Rattus norvegicus: one gene and its partners. The protein of the gene in region 3 interacts with the protein of the main gene of each other region in a biochemical or structural test. Links are inferred from orthologs where the notes say so. Each region holds a gene or a part of one and is shown on either strand. Other genes may lie near its edges. The genes, in order: Fer, Ptk6 and Erbb3.

Region 1 (3,649 bases), on a different chromosome or scaffold from region 3:
CAAAAGAACAAACTGTCAAGCTATATGTCCTAAAGTGAGTGTGAAGTGAAACTTAGGACGAGTCTACACTAAGGGAAGGATAACACAGAACTGATCTATAACAATCAACTGGATACAAGTCTCTCTCCAATTTCAATGTCTTTCCCATTTGTACACTGCTCATGTTGCACAGCCCTCAAAGAAAGAGCCCTGCCATTCCCAGCCCAGCTCCCCCAGCTGTCAACATGCTGAAAGGCCCACCAGGCTCCCTGCTGCGCTGTGCTCCAGGTCCCTAAGGTGCTGTGTGAAACACATAACACTCCCTGCGCAGTCTGACCTCACAGTCCCTTAGTGCATCAAAGAATCGTGCGCGATAGATCTCACAGGTAAAATGTCTAAAGCGAGCTCTGAGCTAGTGGTCTGGCCCCTCAGAGGGGAGCGAAGATTTTCTGAGAAGGGACGTAAAGCTTTAACCAGTCCCAAGCTTTCAACGCACTGTAAACCTACACTCAAAACTAAAACTCTGACTCACTCCCAAATGCTAGACCTCTTCCTTGATGTCTACATCCTCAAATCTTTTGCCAGAACTTTTCAAAGTATGATCCTCACATCTTTCAAGATAAATTGGGAAAGAGAGAAAACAAATTAGGCCATTTGTATCCTAGCAAACGCTGAGCAGAAAGGTAATGTGTCTTCATAAAATTAAGGGAAGTCTATATTTCAGCTAGATTGCCAGGAGTTACTGGTGCTCACAGAAGCAATTTGTCCCTGACTTTGGCACATACCCTAAAAGCTTTCTTCTGTGACAAATGCTAACAAAGTAAGTATTCTTTTTTAAAAAATAAAAGAAACAAGGTCTCAGCCCTACCTTTGGAATAGGATTCAGCAGAACCACCCCCGACTTCTTGGTGATGACTTGCTTTGTATTGAAGTGGTGATCTATAAGTTGAGGGATATTTGAAAAGCCGGTGCCCTCAAATCGATATAGATTCTGGAGAGAGAACAACAACATAGAATTATCAGGAAGACATTGTTTCAGAAAAAAAAATGATCTTATCCAGAAGTTAAGTTCTGTTAGAAGAGCTGTCCGTGTACAGCATCATAAATATACAACAATACTCAACTACAAACTTAACAGATAGCAAAATATTAAAATAGACAGAAACATTAGACTCAACAATCTACTGCCAAATATTCTGGAATTCAGAAAAAATTCCAGGCTAAACATAACTCACATTGTTATTATAGCAAGAGGAAAGGCTAATGGAGCTCAACTGCATTGTATGAAAATGGTGACTAAAGCAAATAAGGCAGGTGCCCACTCACGTTTAAGCAGAAGGAAGACGTTACATACGTCTCCATGTATGCTCCCTTCCATAAACTTTCAGTACCAAAATACTGTCAAAGGTTCGAGGGAGTCTAATAAAACAATACCTAAGATACTCATTTCTTACTTGCTAATACAATGGGTTTTTCTACAGTAGGACCTCAATGGACCACTGATATATATAAAGATGCAAACATCATTCACACGAGAGATAAAGCTAAAGAAATAAAGACGAGCATCAGTGATAAGCCTTTGAGATCAGCAGGCTCAGAGCCTGGTATCTTTTTAGAGGTACTTTGTTATTTCAGTGTGTGTGTGTGTGTGTGTGTGTGTGTGTGTGTGTGTGTGTGTGTGTGTGTGTCCCCGTGTCCACAGAAGCCATAAAAGGGTGGCGGATTGCCCCAGGCTGGAGTTACAGGTGGGTGTGAGACATTTAGCATAGATGCTGGGGGAATCCAACTCAGGTCCAGAAGCTATCTCTCCATTCCCAAGTTTACTTATGATTTGTATTGTCTGTCTCCCTTGTAGATTGCAGGCACTGTAGGCAAAAGACTCATTTATTTATCACTCAGTATAAGAGCCCTGTGGTCTGGTACAGTCTGTGGCCTGCAGAAAGAAACATGTGAATGACGTACAATGCCTTCAGTGTTGTGAAGAGAACAAAACAGTTTATACATGGTTCACACACTCATGAGCACAAGATGTTATATGTGCAATGTTTAACGAACAAAGTGAAGTTCACACACAATGAAATCTCACATCCACCCTACTCTGAGTCTTATGCATCCCTAGAACTTCACAACTACCTAATAAAACCTTAGATTTTCTGTTTCCCTTTCTTAATTTAAGAACATTTCAAAATTTGGAATTACTAATTTTACAAAAATTATTGTAATACCTGTGAGGTTCTCAGCACCCTAACATGGTATAAAACCAGTCCATTCCCCTTCTTGGACAGGAAGACACATCGATGGATATAAAGGCATTAAGATATCATCAATGTCGTGTAAGCAAATAAAAGAGAGAAGAGAATGCTCCCGGTGTTTTGGGTTGTTCCTTTACTCTCAAGGCCCCATATGCTGCACTAGATGTGGCTTCAAAGGGATCTGAGTCCCTCCTGCTCCTCTGACCTAACCCCACAGAGAATGGTTCAGCTTGATGATACTATGGCAGGCAGCAAAGGAAGCCTAACGTGGGCCGCTTTGTTGGTTGGTTTGATTGATTTGATTTCTTTGGGACGGAATCTTGCCATGTTCCCCAGGCTGGCCCTGAAAAAGGTCGTTGCTTGCTCAGTACCTCCTGGGAAGTAAGGCTTCGGAATGGCTAAGTCTGACAGTATACTAGAGGTGTAGAAAATGACATGACGTAGCTATTGCCTTGCCCTACTGATGTCAGAATGATTGCTGTGCAATGGGAAACATAATCCTAACTACACAGGATAAGCCACAAGTTTGGAACTGCTATGCAAAAATATGTTGGCATTTTACTGCACACAAGGAGACCCACAGCATGAATTTAAAATGTAGCTTTAAAGAGCCCAGAGACTGCAGTAATGAATCTAAGTAATTCGTACATTTAATTACCTCAAAGTGAACTTGATACTTGATCAATATCTATCTCTCTCCATTTTTTAATTAAAAAGAATATGCAGTTGGTCAAAGCTTTGGGCACATATTCACCACAATCTGATGCTCTCACTCACGACTGTCAGGTGCCAAGTAACCTGAAGTGGGCCTTCCATCACCCGGACGCTCATTTCTTCATGCTGAGTACAGTAAGACCCTTCTATTTGACGTGTACAGTGCAGTGTTGTACATTAAACTCTACCTACTCTGCCATGAGAGCCAGGACTTCCCGTTTCCAATACAGACACTGCACCACTGTACCCGTGGACCGACCTCTCCTGCTTTTACTCTCTCTGCTGTTCAAAGCTTCTGTAGTGACTACACAACTCCAGGCTTCCACACAGCGAGTGTCTTCTACTTGGACTATTTTACCTAATAGCACTATCCTAGCATATCAGTGTTATTAGCCCTGACAGGATTGATGACATTTGTGTGACTGAACAGTGCCCAGGTGCCTGTGCCCCACCACCTTCTCTTCACATATCTCCTGGACAACTGGGTGATTTCACATCCTGGCTATTCTGAATAGTGTAGAGAAAACCATGGACATGTCTCCTTCTAACACGTTCTTCATTTCAATTAGTCATCTGATCCAAGACACAGGGTGGGATCATGTCACAGCTCCCTCTCTGGTTGTCTTGGAGGCACCGCACTGATCTCTGGTTGTCTGGGACTCCTCGCACTGATCTCCACAATGACCACGCTAGTTGACATTCCC
Region 2 (3,749 bases), on a different chromosome or scaffold from region 3:
GGGTAGTGCTTTGTCTCTTCCATGAAAGAAAACGCGAGGCCTGGCACAGTTCTCGGAAGTAGAACATTCATTCAACATGTGGGCCAGAATTTGATCCTCAGCATGAAGTAGCATCCCCCACCACCACCCCCACTCCCACCACCACCACAGCACTCCCCCACCTTAAAAAAGAAAAAAGAAAGAAAAAGAAAAAAAAATCATTATTTCCCAGGTCACTCACCCTTATAGACTTTTCAATTTCCTTTCCCGTCCTGGGTGTGCAGGATCACCCAATCATGAACACAACAGGATCAGCCAGAGTGAGAAGGGTTGCCAGGGCCACTCTGGAGACAGGGAATCCTTGGAGCTCTCAAGGTTCAACAGGAGGAGGAGGGACAGACTGGAACAGTCACAAGTAGGGCTACTAGGGATTGGGTAGCATGGGAGGTGAATTAAAAGAGGCCCGGGGGGGGGGGGTTGGGGATTTAGCTCAGTGGTAGAGCGCTTGCCTAGCAACTGCAAGGCCCTGGGTTCGGTCCCCAGCTCAAAAAAAAAAAAAAAAAGAGAGAGAGAGAGAGACCCTGGGGGCCGCAGAGCAGGAGGGAAACCTGGGAAAGAGGGTGGTGGAGCTGTAGAGGCCCTGGTGGTGTGGGCCCTTCCTAGCCATTACTCACCCTTTGTGTCTGCCCCTTTTGTGTCCTTATCTGGAGGATAGGACAATACTTGCTTCTTGATCTGAGGTCTATGGACCACAGACACATCTCCAAGATATCAGAAAGCATTCTAACCCAGCTCACGACACACACAGATGGTCATGCCCTCATACCCCTTGGTTCCCTTTGGCTCTCCAGCTGTCATGCTGTGGTCTAGCATGCTGTCATGGCTGGCTTCTCCAGGATAGACTGTATCTGAATGTCCTCAGCTCAAGGAACCTGAGTTGTGGCAGAAGCTCAGGCTGGGGTATGTTCTTTAAGTTCACAGGTCTCATGCAACCCTCACCCCCTCAAGCCCCACCAGTTTCTTCTTTGTCTCCAACTCATGCCCTGCCCGATTTCCTTGATACCATGCCTAGATCTAGTCCTGTTAGCATCTAGAGGGTGGACACCTGCTCAGGGAGGCGGCGGTCATGAATGTCAAGTCTTTCAGGGGGACGCTTTCTCCTTTGGCAGGAGGGACCAGCCAGTGTAAGGGAGTTTGTTTTTGTTTGCATGTAGAAGAGCCATTGCTTTACTCTCTACTCTGTTCTAGCAACCTGCCCACCATCTTTGAAATCTCCCTCCACTGCTCCCCTCCCCTTCCTTTAGCTCCAAGACTCACACCTCAAGGGGACAAGGCTTCAGTTGATACCTGTGTGCTCCCCATCTAATAGGGTATTCTGTGTAACTGTGGCTAGGTCTTGTCAAGGGGTTGTTTAGCTGACAGGCTTTCACCGAGTGTGAACACATAGCATGGTCTTATCCTGTAGATAAAAGAACAAACAGGGGCTAGAAGGGCCTTCAGGGTGGAGCTAGGTTAGTCCATCTCCAATCAGTGCCGGGTGTGGCTGCTCTCCTGCCCATCATAAGGAAGTAGGTGTGACTGGCTTTCTGGGAAAAGTTCCTCCTACCTCTCCCAGCAGTAAGTGTCTACAAGTAGGCCACAGTTGGCTCTGCCACTAAGCCTGCCATGGTGTCTTTGGACAAGGCTCACCTGGGTCCTAAGTATGTGGGCCTCTGGGACTTCAAAGCACGAACGGACGAGGAGCTGAGCTTTCAGGCAGGAGACCTCCTCCATGTTACCAGGAAGGAGGAACAGTGGTGGTGGGCCACCCTGCTGGATGCGGAAGGCAAGGCCTTGGCTGAGGGCTACGTGCCCCACAACTACCTGGCTGAGAAGGAAACTGTGGAGTCTGAACCGTGAGTGGCCCTGGGGAGTTGGCACAGAGGGAGGGGTGGGTGTCCGTGGGCACTGGAATGGACTGGGGAGGCCAGAGGGTGTAAGATCCTACTTGACATTCAGCTGGTCATACTCTGATCCTTAACATTCTGGTACACAGTGTTGCTGATGGGGCTATGCTTCTGAGCAACACTTGGGGACAGGGTCTCTATTTTGGACTCACCTATGATCACTTCCCAGCCATAAGTACTGCTCTGCTAGGACCCAGATGGGTCCAGAGGGGCCTGATGTGGAATTTTAAGATGTTGTCTGTGAGGGACAAGATCTGTGTGGGAATTCAAGAGCTGTTGGGGGTGTGAAGTTTGCTCATTTTCCAAACAGCCAAAACCAGATGTGCAACTTAGTTAACTAGGGAGAAAGAAGGCTGCTGGGGCACACCTATTTATATCACCTGGCAGGGGGCATATGTTGCAAACACCACAGTGGTAAGTGTTTACATGTTCTCTGAGGCACCCTAGTCCACTGTTCTTGGCCTCCCACATATCTGAGCCCTTGGAGGCTTTGAGGAACTACAATAGTGACTAGTATGGGCATGTTCACAGGCACCCAAGGACCCAAGCTACGTAGGTTGCTCTGGGCTAAGGCTATGAAGGGTCCAGCAGCAGCGGTTTCTTACTGTTTTGCTCTTGAGACCCCCCCAATGCCTCATCTCACAGTGAGTACCTATGGTGCTCAATGAAGATTGTGAACACACAAACAAGAAACGAATACTAAATAGTACCTAGGACAGTTCCAGAGACAGAGACTCAAGACAGAAGTGAGGTAGGCATGGGTGGTGCGCATAAAAGAATGAGGAGAGCCAGGTGCCTTGAACACTCGGGAGGTAAAGGCAGGTGTTTATCACTAAATTCCAGGGCAGCCTGGTGTGTGTGTGAGTGTGTGTGTGTGTGTGTGTGTGTGTGTGAGAGAGAGAGAGAGAGAGAGAGAGAGAGATCAGACAGATAGAGACAGAGAGAGAGAGACAGAGACAGAGACAGAGACAGAGACAGAGACAAAGACCATGTGGCCAATATAGCAAGGGCAAAGGCCCTGAGGTCCTGAGAATCTAGCACAGGCAAACATGTCAGAGGAGGGGAGGGGCAAAGCAGAGGAGGCAAAGTGGTCAGAGGGGAGAGTGGGGCAGATTCTGTACTCTGCAGGACCCGAGCAGGTGGGCTTCAAGGGCTTGAGCTAGATGTTAAACTCTTTTTTTAAAAAAAAGATTTACTTATTTATTATATATAAGTACACTGTAGCTGTCTTCAGACACACCCGAAAAGGGCATCAGATCCCATTACAGATGGTTGTGAGCCACCATGTGGTTGCTGGGAATTGAACTCAGGACATCTGAAAGAGCAGTCAGTGCTCTTAACCACTGAGCCATCTCTCCAGCCCTAGATGTTAAACTCTTACGTGGAGCCTATGATCTGACAGCTCTTGAGGGAGTTGGAGACTCCGAGGGCAGAGATCACCCATGGAATTCCAAGGACTTTCACCTGTAGTTCAGTTCAGGCATATCTCCATCCCTTTGGTTGGAAGCCAGTATGATAAAATGGCTTTGAATGGGAGAGTATGAGCATGGGGGCTACCGTGTCTGTGCATGTACATAAGGGCGTGCTTATCAGAGTGTATGCAAGCTCGGGTTAGTATGAGAATGTGAGTGCACGGATGGGTACACACACAAGTGTGCAACATGAGGACATGGTCAGTGCAATGTGAGTGCACAGTTGTGTGTGGAAAATATCTATCAAACATGCACTTGTATTTCAGTGCATGTCTGTGCACACAAGTGCACATGTGCAAATGGCTATGTGGTTATATGCACATGTATGTGAAAATATGAGGCAGGAGGCAGG
Region 3 (3,678 bases):
ATTGTAGCAGGAGAGTGGGGACATGGCGCACTTGGGAGGTGGAAGCAGAAAGATCGACCATTCAGAGTTCAACACCAGTGTCAGTCACATAATATACTCGAGGCCAGCCTGAGCTCTATGAGCTATATGAGACCTTGTTTCAAAACCAAAAAAAAAAAATAAACAAAAGAAAAGAAAAGATTGTAGTCCATAGTCTTCGCCCAGGGGGAGGGGACAATAAATTCTCAAAATCTTGGAATGCCAATGTAAGGGTTGCGAAATGCAAGGGGTTGGGCACCAGGGGGCGCCAGTCGGACCCGTCCGGGACCCAGCAACCCTGGGTCCCGTGGGCCATGTGCGGTGACTTCTCCGCTCCCCTCCTCACTGTCGTCTCCCAGTGTGAGCGTTGCTGTGCCCTTTTGGGTCCGCGGAGGAGAGGCGGGAACCGCGGCCGCCCGGACGGCGCGGTCGGTCCCTCGGAGACAGCTGTTCTCTCGGGCGGCCGTGGGGGGCAGCAGAGGGGACGGCGACAGGTGCGGGAGCCCCTCCCCGGGCTGAAGTGGGAAGGCGGACTCCCCGGTCTGTTCCCAGGCTGGAAACCGCCCCCGCCCCCCAGGCAAATCCCCCCAGAGGCCGAGCCGGCGCCGGGTCTGCCGGAGGAAGCGGCCGGAGACAGTGCAATTTCACGCGGTCTCCGGGGCTCGGGTTCCCGAGCTGGGTACATGAGTTACGGGGCTTTGCGTCCCGGGGAAACTGAGGTGGCATGAACGCTAGGCTAAAAAACAACCTCCCACTCGAAAAAACTGAAATACTCACACTACGAAAGAAGGAAAAAAAAAATCCCTCAAGTGATCCAACCGGCTAGGGGAGTTGAGTGATTTGGTTAATGGGCGAGGCCAGCTTTCTGGGGGCTGGGCTTCGGAGCGCTCTCCTTACCCGCAGTCACTACCTTTCCCCGGCCTGGGGTCGTTTGGAATCTTGATCTCCTCTGAACCATCTCCGGAGGGAATTGCTGGAGTAAGACCCCTCCTTGACCCTCTTGGCCAGGCTGCGGGCTGGCGGAGCACCTTTGGGCGGGTGTCCCGGGCTACAACCATCAGGACTTCAGCCTCGCACGGGAGGGGGCGCGGCCGTGACTCACCCCCTTCCCCCTTCGCTCCGTCCCTCCCTCCCAGACAGACACCCTCCCCTGCCGCCCCGCTCCGGACTCTGACTCCGGCTCCAGTTGCAGTTTGCAACCTCCGCTGCGGCCGCAGCTACCTATTCGCTGGCTGTTCAGGTGGCTTTCGCTTCGATGTCCTCCTAATCTTGGGGCCCCCGGGCCAGACTCGGCAGGGCTCCCTTCACCATCCGCTGGAATCATGAGGGCGACTGGGACTCTGCAGGTGCTGTGCTTCCTTCTCAGCCTGGCCCGGGGTTCCGAGATGGGCAACTCTCAGGCAGGTAAGCCGCGCGGGAGCCCCAGAAGTCTGGAAGCTGGGAGCGTGTGACCTGAACGCTCGCAGACCCTGGGCAAGGAGTTCGGGCACTGACTCTTTGAACTGGGGAGTGTGTGTGGGGGGGGGGTGCGACACCGGGTCTGCTCGCACCACCAAGGAGGGGGCCGTGTGCCTCGGTTCTTGGAGTGGAGCTTTCTGGGGGCTGGGACTGCATTCCTGGATGCCTACCCTTCTTCCCAGGGCGTCGCTGACCCTCTAATTGGTCTTATTCTGATTTGGTTAATGAAGAACAGTAGATTCACACTTGAGAGCCTTGGGAGGAGGGCGGGCAGGGACCCTTCTGTAAACGTAAGGAGCCTTGACTTGAAGGGTCTCAGTTTGTTCTCAGGTTCCCTGGCCCCCACCCCATCCCAGGTTTCAACAACCCCCCAGTTTCGTTGTTTTGCTGACAGGGCGGGGCTATGCAAGGGTTGGAAGTTGTTGTTTTCTAATGTTGGAAAAACAAGAGTGGCACCTCCTCTTCCGTGAGTGGGGCTGTCCTGAGAAGGCTGAGATTAACCTGAGGGCCAAGTCCAGGTGACATCAGTGAGAGGTCTCACAGAGCTGGCTGCCTGCTTTCCCATAAGATAAGCCGGTCCCCCAACTTAACCAACGTCTCTTTATCAAGACCCAGGTCAATTCAGTTAACATGTTGGGCATCTATTACACACTACACTATTTCCAGGGTATTATACCCTATTCTGGGGCTGTGGGGAAAAAGACAATCAGACCTATTTCTCTCTCCAATCTGAGGTCACTTCTCCCACCTTCTGAACATTCTATTCTGTGAACTGGCTCCCAGACCCAACTTGTGCCCTCCCCCCATTCGGTGCCATATGAGCCCTTTCCTACGGGTGTCTCTGGGACTACAGACACCTGAAGAACACCGGAGTTGGTATAATTAGAGTCCTGTTGATCTTGCTCCCCCCACCCCACCCCAAGATCTCTGCTTGGGGGTTGGCACAGTCAGTGCCCCTTCCGCAGAGTGGGAGTGGGAGAAACCACCTGTGCTTCCCCCACAGTTGCTGGGCCTAAATTTAGCCCCTGGGATCTTGAGATGTGAACACTCCCAGCTGGTGGAGGGGGTGGTCTGGGACTGGGGGGAGGGCCAGGGGAGTGACTGGAACACAGTTCCATCTGACTGCCCCCACCAACCAGAACCCAAGAGTCCGGGACTCCCACCACCCTCCTCAAGAGGCAGGGAGCAGGCATGCTTGCTTGTCTACCCTTTATCTTCCTCCTGAGCCTCTGGGCATCCGGCCCTGTCTCAAGCCTTGTATAGCCCCTTTGTCCCCTTGTGTATGTGGCAATAGAGGGGAGGCATCTGAGGGGCTGGAGGCTCTTGGTCTGTGCAGTCAATACTCTCTACAGAGAAAGGCTCCGACTTTGATCCTTTGCTCCTCTGTGAGCGTTGTCCACCCTACCCCCACCCGGTATTTTTCACTGCTTCCTTGCCGTGATCCCCAGGTTGCTTGGTCCCTCCTGGGTGGTTGTTTATGCTCCCGTCCTGTCCGCCTGCGCCCTTTGCCCCTGTTTGTGGGATCTGGACTTTACCCTCAGGGTGGCAGGTAACTGAGCCCTGTAGGGCTTTGCAAAGCACAAGACACAAAGTGTGCAAGGCATTGTGGGCAGGCAGGATGGACTGGCCCCTTGTAATGCTTCTGAGTATGGGTTCCAGGGCAAACACTATCTATTTCTGTGCCAGGGTAACTGTGTACATGTTTGTGTGTCAGTCGTACATGTGTGACACTACGCACGCACGCACAGGTACACATCACTTCCCTGTGCAGATATCCTAGCTCCTCCCCTATCTGAGAAGGGTTGGCACCTTAACTTGGAAGAGGGGTGTCCTGCCAGGAAGGGGACAGGGGTGGGGCTGTTCCAGAAATGACTAACCTTCCTAGTCTTTTATTTCAGCCCAAGGACCCTGGAGTTCCCAGGTTCCTCTGGGAGCTTCTAGCTTCTTGCTGGAACTGGCCCACTCTTTCCATCATGGAGAGAGGATAGGGAAGATGATCTAGAAGGGGTCAAACTAGACATGTACCTAACAAGAGAAACTGGGCTTTCTGACTCTCTCTCTCTCTCTCTCTCTCTCTCTCTCTCTCTCTCTCTCTCTCTCTCTCTCTCCCTGCCCCGCCTCAGGGAAGGGTGGTTAGAACAGGTGGTGTACCCCTTACCCCCACCCTCCTCTCCATGTGCTTTTACTGCACCACAGGAAAGA

Evidence for each region.
Region 1: the proteins of Erbb3 (region 3) and Fer form a complex in vitro, tested with the Homo sapiens proteins (2 studies listed by BioGRID and IntAct, with this or other methods). The link is inferred for Rattus norvegicus from reciprocal best matches to the Homo sapiens genes ERBB3 and FER.
Region 2: the proteins of Erbb3 (region 3) and Ptk6 form a complex in vitro, tested with the Homo sapiens proteins (2 studies listed by BioGRID and IntAct, with this or other methods). The link is inferred for Rattus norvegicus from reciprocal best matches to the Homo sapiens genes ERBB3 and PTK6.

Annotation. Positions count from the first base shown.
Region 1 is NC_086027.1:111,106,920-111,110,568, reverse strand, and holds part of Fer (tyrosine-protein kinase Fer), read right to left. Parts: intron 971-3,649; coding exon 848-970; intron 1-847. UniProt on the Homo sapiens protein: Tyrosine-protein kinase that acts downstream of cell surface receptors for growth factors and plays a role in the regulation of the actin cytoskeleton, microtubule assembly, lamellipodia formation, cell adhesion, cell migration and chemotaxis.
Region 2 is NC_086021.1:188,690,829-188,694,577, reverse strand, and holds the start of Ptk6 (protein-tyrosine kinase 6), read left to right. Parts: upstream 1-1,353; 5' UTR 1,354-1,644; coding exon 1,645-1,874; intron 1,875-3,749. UniProt on the Homo sapiens protein: Non-receptor tyrosine-protein kinase implicated in the regulation of a variety of signaling pathways that control the differentiation and maintenance of normal epithelia, as well as tumor growth.
Region 3 is NC_086025.1:1,597,576-1,601,253, reverse strand, and holds the start of Erbb3 (receptor tyrosine-protein kinase erbB-3), read left to right. Parts: upstream 1-874; 5' UTR 875-996; intron 997-1,154; 5' UTR 1,155-1,340; coding exon 1,341-1,422; intron 1,423-3,581; exon of another isoform or gene 3,582-3,678. UniProt on the Homo sapiens protein: Tyrosine-protein kinase that plays an essential role as cell surface receptor for neuregulins.